Linked DNA regions of Struthio camelus. The main gene of each other region encodes a partner of the protein of the gene in region 2 in a complex. Links are inferred from orthologs where the notes say so. Each region holds a gene or a part of one and is shown on either strand. Other genes may lie near its edges.

Region 1 (3,600 bases), on a different chromosome or scaffold from region 2:
AAAACCTTGCTTTCCCCCAAAATTCCCAAAACCCTCCACCCACACAATTTTCCCTCACAACCGCACCCCAAACCCCTCTGAAAAATTTTCCCCAAAACTCCCCCCAAAACCCTCCACGCACCCACTTTTCCCCTCACAACTGCACCCCAAACCTGATGAAAACTTTGTTTTCCCCTAAAACTCCCCCCAAATCCCTTTACACCATTACTTTTCCCTCACAACCGCACCCCAAACCCCTCTGAAAAATTTTCCCCAAAACTCCCCCCAAAACTCTCTATGCTCCCACTTTCCCCTCACAACTGCACCCCAAACCCCAATGAAAACCTTGTTTTCCCCTAAAACTCCCCCCAAATCCCTTTACACCATTACTTTTCCCTCACAACCGCACCCCAAACCCCTCTGAAAAATTTTCCCCAAAACTCCCCCCAAAACTCTCTATGCTCCCACTTTCCCCTCACAACTGCACCCCAAACCCCAATGAAAACCTTGTTTTCCCTCAAAACTCACCCCAAATCCCTCTACACCCTTACTTTCCCCTCACAACTGCACCCCAAGCCCTCAAACCACTTTCTTCCTCTCCAAACTCTCCCTCACTCCTCCACACACCCGCTTTCCCCTCACAACTGCACCCCAAACTGCAGGAAAACCTTGCTTTCCCTCAAAACTCCCCCCAAATCCCTCCACACACCCGCTTTCCCCTCACAACTGCACCCCAAGCACCTCTGAAAACTTTGTTTTCTCTTAAAACTCTCCCCAAAATCCTCTACACCCCTACTTTCCTGTCACAATTGCACCCCAAGCCCTCAAACCACTTTTTTCCCCTCAAAACTCTCAACTTCTCCACGCACCCACTTTTCCCTTCACAACTGCACCCTAAACCCCTTTGAAAACCTTGTTTTCCCCCAAAATTCCCCCCAAACTCCTCCACACACCCCCTTTCCCCTCACAACTGCATCCCAAATTGCTCTGAAAACCTTGCTTTCCCTCAAAACTCACCCCAAATCTCTCCACACACCTGCTTTCCCCTCACAACTGCACCCCAAGCACCTCTGAAAACTTTGTTTTCTCTTAAAACTCTCCCCAAAATCCTCTACACACCTACTTTCACCTCGCCGCCGCACCCCAAAGCCCTCTGAAAAACTTTTTCCCCTCAAAATGCCCCCCAAAACCCTCTATGCTCCCACTTTCTCCTCACAACTGCACCCCAAACCTCTTTGAAAACCTTGTTTTCCCCCAAAACTCTCCCCAACTTCTCCACGCACCCACTTTTCCCTCACAACTGCACCCAAGCACCTCTGAAAAAAATTTTTTCCCCTTAAAACTACCCCCAAAACCCTCCACCTAAACACTTTTCCCTCACAACCGCACCCCAAACCCCAGGAAAACTTTGTTTTCCCCTAAAACTCTCCCCAAATCCCTCCACGCACCCACTTTCCCCTCACTACCGCCTCCCAAACTCCTTCAAAAAACTTTTCCCCCCCCAAACCCTCTCCCGCACCCCATTTCCCCTCACAACTTCCGCCATCTCCCTCCACCCACACACTTTTCCCTCACAACCGCACCCCAAACCCCAGGAAAACCTTGTTTCCCCCCAAAATCCCTCCACGCACCCACTTTCCCCTCACAACTGCCCCCCAAGCTCCTTGAAAAAAACTTTCCCCCCCAAAAACCTCCTCCCGCACCCCATTTCCCCTCACAACTTCCCCCATCCCCCTCCACGCACCCACTTTTCCCTCACAACCGCACCCCAAACTCGATGAAAACCTTGTTTTCCCCCTCAAAACGCCCCCCCCGCCCCTAACGGCCGCTCCTGAACGGCCCTTGCCGCGCCCCTCCCCCACCCCCCCCCACGCGGGCCAACGGCCGCGCCGCGCGCCCGCCCCTCCCCCTCCCCGGGGCCAACGGTCGCCCGCGGCGCACGCGCACGTACGCGCGCGCCCGCCCCCCCCACTCCCACCCGCGCTCGCGTCCCCGCGTTATCTGCTTCCCTTTCCCCTTCGCCCCCTCCCCGCCGTCTCACCAGCCGGCGGCTCCGCTCGCGCCGCGCGGGGACCCTCCCCCGCGCTCGAGGCTGCCGCGGCTGCGAGACCCGGACGAAGAGACGCGAGGCGACGCCACGCGCCCCCGCCTACCCGCGCGGCCTCCCCTTCCGGCCCCTTCTCTTCCCTTCCCCCCCCCCCTCCTCCGCCCCGCCGCTGACGTCACTTCGGCGCGCGCACGGCCCGCCGGGAAATGAAGTTCCGCCTCCCCGCGGAGCCCATTGGTGGGTTACGAGGCGCCGGACTACAACTCCCGGCGGCCCCCGCGCGCCGGCGCCGCCATCTTGTGGCGGCGGCTGGCCGCCTGCGCGCGGGGCACGCCGGGAGCGGGAGTCCGCGCGGCGCCCGGCTGCCAGCGGCGGGAGGCGGGGCGGGACTACAACTCCCGGCGTGCCTCGCGGCGCCCGCCATCTTGTGGCCTCCACCTTCCCCGTGGAGGAGGGGGGGCGCCCCGTCCTCCTTCCGCGCAGGTGCGGAAGAGGCCGCCGAGCGCCGGCCAATGGGCATCGCCCATGTCCTCGCTCCGCCGCCAACCAATCAGCGCCGGCCGCGCCCGCCGCCAGCCAATCAGCACCGCCCCTCCCGGGCGCCCAGCCAATCAGCGTTACGTGGGCCCAGCGCTGGCCGCTCGCCAGCGTCTGGGCGCTTCGTCCAGCCAATCAGAAGCGCTTCTCCCCCAGGGGGCCCAGGCGTCCGGGTCCCCGAGCCGGCCCCAGCCCCCTCCCCCCCCCCAACGGGGGGCCCAGGCGTCCCCGCCGGCGATGGACCGTTAAAGCCGTTTTTATCCCCAAAAGGACCGAGTTAAGGCCGGTTTTGCCCCCCCCCCCAAGGGCAGATTTAAGCCTATTTTTTGCCCCAGGAAAGGGCCAATTTAGGGCCTTTTTTGCCCCCAAAAGGGCCGAGTTAAGGCTGTTTTTGCCCCCCCCCCCAAAATCGGCCGAGTTAAGTCCGGTTTTGCCCCAGGAAAGGGCCGAGTTAAGGCTGATTTTGCCCCCAAAAGGGCCGAGTTAAGGTGGGGTTTTTTGTCCCTAAAAGGGAAAAGTTAGGATGTTTATTGCCCCAAAAAAGGGCCGAGTTAAGGCCGTTTTTGCCCCAAAAAGGGCCGAGTTAAGGCTATTTTTGCCTGAGGAAAGGGTAGATGTAAGTCCAGTTTTGCCCCTAAAAAGGGCTGAGTTAAGGCCATTTTTGCCCCCAAAAGGGCCGAGTTAAGGCCATTTTTGCCCCAAAAAGGGCAGAGTTAAGGCTATTTTTGCCTCCCCAAAAAAGGGCCGAGTTAAGGCTGTTTTTACCCCCAAAAAGGCAGAGTTAAGGCTGCCTTTTGCCCCTAAAAAGGCCGAGTTAAGGCCGATTATGCCCCAGGAAAGGGCAGAGTTAAGGCGAGTTTTGCCCCCCAAAAGGGCAGAGTAAAGGTGTTTTTTGCCCCAACAAAGGACTGAATTAAGGCTGGTTTTACCTCCAAAGGGGCCGAGTTAAGGTGGTTTTTTTGCCCCTAAAAGGGCCGAGTTAAGGTGGGGTTTTTTGCCCCCAAAAGGGCAAAGTTAAGATGTTTATTGCCCCAAAA
Region 2 (3,811 bases):
ACATAAGTTAAAGAAATCTTTCCAGAAGAGTTATCAAGTATAACTGTTAGAATATTACATAACACTAATATTTTTCTTTAGAGGTTGCATTTTACTCCTGGGTTTAAAAAATTGTCCATGTCCAACTCATTGTGTACGGTTTCATGAACCGGCTTTATCTTGGAGAACTCATGAAGGAAATGACCATTAAGATATGTAACCGCACCACACAAAACAATTAAAAACGCCATCACGTCCTATAAAATCAAGCTGACATCACTCGTAATAGGGGATCCTTACGGGTATTTCATGCTTGTTCTCACAAGGTCTTAGCAAGACACAGTTTATCTTTCAGAAAGCTCAATATTGCACTCCGCTGTTCGGTAGCTGTAACTGCGGCTTGCATAGGCTGGCGTTAAAGCATTTCTTGTTCACGCTTGCGCTGAACATGTGTAGCTTCACCACGGGAAGATTTACTAGTTCGTGATGACGGTGACTGTGAAGGGTTGCTTTTAAGACAGAAGTATCAGCACGGTGACGTGCCCTTGCTTACGCCGAGTCCCTGCCACAGCCAGTCTTGATTATATGATTAAAAATCGTCGGTATCAACTAACCCAACAGGACCGAATCAAGATGTTGTATCGGTCTAGCTGATACAACTAGCATAAAATATTAGCACTTTTTTCTGCTTGGGCGGTTGCTCATTTACCTCCATCTTGACCGCTCCCACCCCAGAGCGGTCTCAGTTTTTCTCTCCGTGTTTTATTTTTATTTATATGGTTGAAAAACCATTTGTCATTTGTTTTAGCTTCATCTGCAAGGCCTAATTCAACTCAAGTTTCGATACGTGCCAGTTTATCACTAGACAAAACACCACCAGACAGCCCAACCTCCACGACTCATTAAGGAGGCTCTTCCCGGCTCTCTGCAGGTCTTGCTTTGCTCCCCTAGGAGCCGTTTCCCTACTCCGTAGACCCATTTTGTGGCGGTTGTTACCCCTCCACCTCAGCAGCCCCTGCATGGAGGTTTTTGCTAGTGCTTGGTGAGCACCTGCAAGATCCAGATTTTTTTTTTTAACTGATAAAAGGACATTTGACTGCTGCCAGCCACTAGCAACTCCCCTTTCTGGAGCCGAAGCCTCAGGCACAGCCCTACCTCGCCTCACTGACCCCTCTCGCCCCGAGCGGGACTCGAACCCGCAGACCCCAGGCACGGGAAATAGGGGGTGGTGCGGCTGAGCCCCGCCCAAACTGCGCCGCCGCCGCCGCCGCCAACGGCCCATTCCGGCCCCGCCCTTCGCCTCCCTCCCTCCGCCCGTCCCCGGCGCGCGTGCGCGCTCGCCGCGCGGCGCGCCACTTCCGGTGCGGCGCGAGGCAGGCGCCGGAAGTGCCTCCATAGCGGGTGGCGGTGAGCTGCGGCTGTCCGAGGTGGCCGGCGCCATGGTGGAGGTGAGGCGGCCGGACCCCGCGGCGCGGTGGCGGCGGAGCGCGGCGCGAGGCGACGGGGGCGGCTTGGGCCCGTGAAGGCGGCGGCTGCGGCGGTCCCTCGGCCTTTGCGGCGCCCCTGGCCCCGAGGGCAGCGCGGGAGGGTTTCCTCGGCCTCGGTGGGCCGTGGTTTGCGAGGCTGAGGCCGGGCGTGGAGGCGGGCGCGGGGCTGTGCCCCTCTCGGGCCTTGTTAGCTAGTCGGGAACGCGGTGGGTTTCTCGTGAGGTCTCGGCAGCGCTGCCCGGCAGGCGGCCGCCGCGTTTGTCGGCGGTGGGGTAGTTAGCGTGGAGCGAGTTTCGTGCGCTGCTGAAAACAGGGAACTGTCAGGAGCCTGTAAGAAAATGTAAAGAATGCTGGCCTATGTCAGGCTGCCTGCTGTTTTTTTCAGTGTGGTATCTCTGTCGAAAGCGTTGCCAGATGCTCCACGATCTTCCGTTCGTAATGGGGAGGCATTCTGTTACTTGGCGCTCGTGTGGTGTTTACAATAGCTACTGTAGTTGAACAGCAGTTCTTCCCCGTAGTTCTTTCTTCAGTTTGCATGAAACTCCCAACCCAGTTCCAAAAAGTGTTAACGTAGTTTCCAGTTTATTGCTGTTATTTCTGTGATGTGCAGAACAAAGGCAGTCCTATAGAGAGTTCTGTTTTCAGCTATTTCCTAATGACTTTTTTTTTTTATCTTTGGGAGGAAAAGATTTGAAAACAAAAACTGAACTGTGCTGGTAATAAGAGAGTATTCTGTAGAAAGAGACCTAAAAGTTTTGTTATTTTGCTTCTTAGTCTTTGAATGGAATTTTAATGTTTTGCTTTTGGTAATAAGGAAACAAAATTATTTGGAGAAAACAAATTTTGTCAGGTTTGAGCCCATGTTTGCTCCCGTGCTTGCATTAAGTGACACAGTTTACACAGAAGTTTTATGAATGCTCTTGTTCTTTTTATGGAGATAGTGAAATAGAATTTATAGGAATGTTTTCAGAATCAGTTACTATATAAAAACAGAACTGGCAAGTGTGTAGGAAAATCTTTCCTGTTTATGTGTTCATCATATAGGTGCCAGTGCAGAAAGTTTGATCAAAGTTTTTGGCCTGCTTTTCTCAGTTTTGTTGGTTTCCAGGAAAGGGAGAGTTGAGTAAACACTGAATTAAAACAACACATAAACTTTAATGTTTAGTTTCCAACAAGAATGTTTTCTGCGAACTGGATAGTGCCGCATCATTTAACACTGTCAGGGCCTGAAATTGCTACTCTATTTAACTTGTATTACTGTTTTCAATTCCTTATTCAGCTGTGGCCAAATGTATTTAAATATGCTTTCCTTTATTTTTAGGAAGTCCAAAAGCATTCTGTGCACACACTTGTGTTCAGATCTTTGAAGAGAACCCATGATATGTTTGTAGCTGATAATGCCAAGCCTATACCATTAGATGAAGAAAGGTATGTGCTGCAATCAGTGAATTACTGGTATGTCTCAAAGCTTTAAATTATGGTAGCGGTTGTTCTAGTCAAGTCACAAGTTTGGATAGAATTACAGTGTGATGTTAAGGGAAGAAAAATTTGAGGATTGTAAAGTGAGTGGTGTCAAATGCTTTCTAAAATATTTCAAAAGTTAATAACAACTCAAAGATTAGGCTTTAATATGCTTTCCTCTTCCAACAGTCACAAAGTAAAGATGGCAGTCAAGTTGCGTACAGAGTATGGCTCAGTGTTGCACATGCCCACTCTGAAAGAAAACTTGAGAGAGAAAGGAGGCTCAAACACTGGGGATCCTTATGGACATAAACAGTATTCTGGCAATCAAGGTTAGTTTGCTCCTAATGGTATGTTTGTCTTTTGTTTTGGAAGAGACAGTCTCACTGAAGTTAGTTCTCAAGGCTGTAGTGTTAATCCATCACAGATACAGGAGGAAATCATAATAGCTGGTTTTCATTGGTATTTTTCTTGCTAGAGTTCAAAGGAGGTTAGTGATTTAGAACAAGGAAAAAGTTTGTTAGAATACAGGGAATGATACGATGCTGTGTAATTTTTACAGTAATTCAGAAACATAGTGTGTGTTATGCTTAGCTACTGGGAAAAGTATAAGCTCAGTGATGTATTTCTTCTTTTTCAGGTTGATGAAGTTTTTTTTTTTTTTTAAGTTTCATGGAATTTTTTTTCAGACTTTCTTTGGCTGTGCAGCTATTAAGTAGAAAAATCCATTTGTTTTAAATATGGTATCTTTTTGACTATTTTTTCTTTTTGGTTAAATATAAAATGTGAAACTATTAGGTAGATCCCATATAGAAACTTCCCTTATAAAGAATGCAAAATGCTTTCTTATTTTAGTAGAGGTATTTTTTCAGAACACTTTATTT
Region 3 (3,811 bases), on a different chromosome or scaffold from region 2:
GGCCCTGCGGATAGCCCCAGGACCCTGCCCCAGGCTCCCCCTGCCCCACAGCAGCCCCCAGATCCCATAGTCTGGATGTCCTGCCCCATGGCAGCCCCCAGTGCCCCAGCAGCCCCTGGTCCCCCCCTGCCCCAGCTGTCCAGTCCCCCCCAGCAGCCCCCTGCCCCATGGCAGCTCCTAGCCCCCCAGCAACCCTCCAGCAGCCCCCCTGCCCCGTGGCAGCCCCCAGCAATCCCCCAGCAGCCCCCCTGCCCCATGGCTGCCCCCTGCACCCCAGCAGCCTCCAGCCCCGCTCACCGTGACGCCATAGCGCAGCGCCAGGCCTGCCAGCGTGTCCCCGGGCTCCAGGCGATGCTCGCGGCCCAGCAGCCCCCCCGGCCCTGGCCCACCACCGTCCCCCACCACCTCCCGCCCCAGGGGTGCCGCCATGGCGGGACGGCCCCACTCACCCCTGGCCCCTGCCGACGCCCTGGCACATGCCGGGGGGGCTCATGTTAACACTCCACCCACCCAACCCACTCCCGGGGGCCACCCTGCACCCCGATACCCCTACACTGGGGCTCGGAGGGACGGGACCCCCACTTCCCGGAGGGCCCAGGCGTTCTGGCGTGCCGCCCGTGGGGGTGATGCTAAGGGCGGGGGGGGGCCTTTGGCCGCCTCTCCGGCCCCCCCTCAGTACTGCTACCAGCCTGCCAGGCCCGCCCCCCCCCCGCCTCCAGTAAACCCAGTCTGGCTGCGGACTGGGTAGGGAGATGCCAGGCCCGGCCGGCCCTCGCGAAGGTCTCTGGGAGACGTAGTCTCGGGGGCAGAGGGCAGCGGGGGTGTTCCCCCCCACGCCATGGCCTGCAGTCGGGCGTCCCCTCGCAGCCCTGGCCTCAGCCTGTGCCCCCCACATGGGACCATCCCTGCCGTGGGGCTGCCCCCCCAGGGGCTTTCTGCACCCCCCCGCCCCTCCTTATTCCCCTAGGGTCTCTGTCCCCCCCCAGGGTCCCGCCCCCCAAAGGGTCCTCTCTGCTCCCTCTGGGTGCTCCCTGCCCCGCCCAGGACTCCTCCCCAAGGGTCCTCCTTGCCCTCCAGGGCACCTACTCCCCGTCAGGGCCCTCATTCATTCCCCATGTCCCTCTGTGACCCCCAAGGTCCCTGCCCCCAGGGTCCTGCCTCCTCCAAGGGTTCCTGCCCCCCACCAGGGGCCCTTTCTGCCCCCATCAAGGGCCACCGCCGACCCCTGATCCCCCTAAATGTTCCTGTCCCCCAGGATCCTTTCTTGTCCCCCTTAGGCGCTGCCCCATGAACCCCCCCCACCTTCGCCCAATAGTCCTCCCTGTCCCGCCCCGGGTCTCATCCCCCCCGACCTCTCCCCCTAGCAGCCCAGCTTGGGGGTAGAGAACTACAGCTCCCAGCATGTCGTGCGCGCGGGGGTAGGGTCCTGCTGCCGCAAGGCACTGTGGGAGTACCAACCCCGCCCTCTCCCTTCCCTGTTGGTCGCCGCGCCGGCCCGTGGCCCGCCGGGAAAGGCGGCCTGGAAGTGGGGAGGGGACGGCGGTTCCTACGGTAACCGCGGGCTGCGCCAGCGGCCGCTATGTCCTTCAAGCGGGAGGGAGACGATCCCGGCCAGCTCGGTGTGCTGCAGGTAGGACCTCCAGTGCCCCCGGGACCCCCCAACAGCTCAAGCCTCCCACACCTAGGATCCCTGGTCCAGCACCCTCGAGGCCCCCAACAGTTCAGGATCCCGCCCGCCGTCCTCCCTGCCCCCCAATGACCCCCTAGACCCGCCCCCTGTCCTCCCTGCCCCCCAGATCCTCCCCAGGCCCCCCTCCCATTCTCCCTGTTCCCAGATACCCCTCTGCCCTACAAATAGTCCCAGACCTCTTCCCCCTTCTCCCTGTTCCCAAATATTCCCCACCTTAACTTTCTCCTCCTTCTTCCTGCCTTCAATTACCCCCTGCCCCCCCTTAATGCCCTCCACCCTAGACCTGCCCCCCAGTTATCCTCTGTCCTGACTTGACCCCTTCAACATCCCCCTACTCCCAGACTTCTCCCAGACCTGCCCCCAAATCCCTCCCAGCCCTCAAATCCCCCTGCACACAAATACTCTCCTGCCCCCAAACCAGCCCTTCAAATACCCCCTGCCCTGACCCCCCTCCTTATTCTTCCTTGCCAAATATGGCCCTATCCACACCCCCTTCCCTCAGAGCTCTCTCTGAAAATACCCCTTCTCCCCCAAATATTCCCTTCCCTCGCTCTGACTCCCAACCTGACCCCCCAAATACTCCCTTCCTTCACCTCAGCTTGTGCTGTTCTCCAATCTCCCCCTGAAAATCTCCCCTAGCTGCCCCCTCTCTCCCCCACCTCAACCCCCCCCCCCCGTTTCCCCCACCTGCACCCCCTTCCCAGCTGGCTCCTCATCATTGCTGCCCCCTTTAGGGGTCCCCCGGGTGCCCAGGTTTCCTGGCTGAAGGGTGGATGGGTCCGTGGTGTGGCTGGGCTATGGGTGAGGATTGATCCCCTGGTCTGTCCCACTTGGACTGGTGAGAGTGCAGGGTGAATCATAGGCAGAAACCGCCTCCGGCAGCAGCTAACGTGACCTTGTTTGTCCCTCTCAGAAACGACGCGTCGCGGACCTGCTCGCCAACTATATCCCTGAGGACGAGGCAGTGCTGCTGAGGAGTGGGAGGTGAATGGGATCCATGTGGGTGGGCAAACCCTGAGCTTCCGTGGGCCTGGGCAGCTGGAACGACTCAAACCTCTCTTGCCACCAGGGACTGCTCTGCCAGTCTCCGAGTGCGGAGATGGGCGAGCCTGACGGCGTCTCCTCCCCTACACAGGTATACCTGCACCGTGTGTGCCCACCGCCCCATCTTCGATACTCTGGATGTGCTGGCGGTCCACAGGGCTGGCAAGAAACACGTTGCCAGTAAGTGCACAGGCTTGGCAGGGGGAGGCCGCTGCTGCACCAGGCCGGCCCACGACCCTCTCACTCTCTTCTAGGCCTGCAGAGCTTCTACGGCAGGAAGCACTCACTTGAGAACGAGGTGCAAAAGCGACAGCACGAGAAATTCGTGCGGGCGGAGGAGGCAGGCACACAGGTGGGTGCAGATGCCCCTTCCCCTCCCCACTAGACCCTCGACCAGACTGGCTTGAGCTCTGCCCCTTCCCCCCAGGGCTCTCCAGCCCCTTTGCTGGTGCGAACAAGGAGGATAGCCCAGAGCGCTCTGCTGAAAGCTGCTCCCTACAGCAGCTGCTGCCGGAGGATGGGGTAAGATCTTGGGGGTTCCTGCCCTCTCAGGGGTGAATGAAGTGAGTGGGCATCACCTTTCCACCTTGTGCAGCTTTGTCATTACCGACTCGCACTCTGTGGAATGCCCCTTCCTTGGCTGCCATCCCCCAGCTGGTAACAGGCACTCGTGGGATGACATTTAGGCGGTGATGGCTGGAGCTGGGCGTCACGCCTCTCCCATCCTAGGGTGAATGGAAATGGCTCAAGAGCAGGTATGACCCAGACGGAGCTGAGCACCGCCCCTGTGCGAATCGCTGCCACGGCCTCTCCAGAGCCCAGAGTCCCCTCGCAGAAGATCAAGGAGGCTGTGGGCACCACCCCAGTGGCCCTGCTGCCAGGGTGCTGTAGCGGGCGAGCAGGTAAAAGTGGGCCAGTGGCTCTGGGTCAGCACTGGTGCCAATGAGAAAGCCCACCGGGTTTCGGCTTGTTTGCAGCCCTGGCCCTGCCTTGGTTTCTCTCTTTTCTGCGGGTCTCGCCAGCTCATGCTCCTCTCCATTCTCCCAGACGTACCAAAGGCAGCTACCACCCAGACCC

The links.
Region 1: PLRG1 (region 2) and SRRM2 share a complex: the UniProt entries of both Homo sapiens proteins name them as parts of the minor spliceosome. The link is inferred for Struthio camelus from reciprocal best matches to the Homo sapiens genes PLRG1 and SRRM2.
Region 3: PLRG1 (region 2) and SCNM1 share a complex: the UniProt entries of both Homo sapiens proteins name them as parts of the minor spliceosome. The link is inferred for Struthio camelus from reciprocal best matches to the Homo sapiens genes PLRG1 and SCNM1.

The regions. Positions count from the first base shown.
Region 1 is NC_090973.1:764,978-768,577, reverse strand, and holds the start of SRRM2 (serine/arginine repetitive matrix protein 2), read right to left. Parts: upstream 2,209-3,600; 5' UTR 2,021-2,208; intron 1-2,020. UniProt on the Homo sapiens protein: Required for pre-mRNA splicing as component of the spliceosome. As a component of the minor spliceosome, involved in the splicing of U12-type introns in pre-mRNAs.
Region 2 is NC_090945.1:39,287,023-39,290,833, reverse strand, and holds the start of PLRG1 (pleiotropic regulator 1), read left to right. Parts: upstream 1-1,299; 5' UTR 1,300-1,418; coding exon 1,419-1,427; intron 1,428-2,787; coding exon 2,788-2,894; intron 2,895-3,116; coding exon 3,117-3,259; intron 3,260-3,811. UniProt on the Homo sapiens protein: Involved in pre-mRNA splicing as component of the spliceosome. Component of the PRP19-CDC5L complex that forms an integral part of the spliceosome and is required for activating pre-mRNA splicing.
Region 3 is NC_090971.1:23,518-27,328, forward strand, and holds the start of SCNM1 (sodium channel modifier 1), read left to right. Parts: upstream 1-1,450; 5' UTR 1,451-1,579; coding exon 1,580-1,630; intron 1,631-2,603; coding exon 2,604-2,674; exon of another isoform or gene 2,675-2,678; coding exon of another isoform or gene 2,679-2,689; intron 2,690-2,825; coding exon 2,826-2,914; intron 2,915-2,988; coding exon 2,989-3,086; intron 3,087-3,161; coding exon 3,162-3,256; intron 3,257-3,463; coding exon 3,464-3,636; intron 3,637-3,781; coding exon 3,782-3,811. Other genes in the region: LYSMD1 (lysM and putative peptidoglycan-binding domain-containing protein 1), read right to left, coding at 298-429. UniProt on the Homo sapiens protein: As a component of the minor spliceosome, involved in the splicing of U12-type introns in pre-mRNAs. Plays a role in the regulation of primary cilia length and Hedgehog signaling.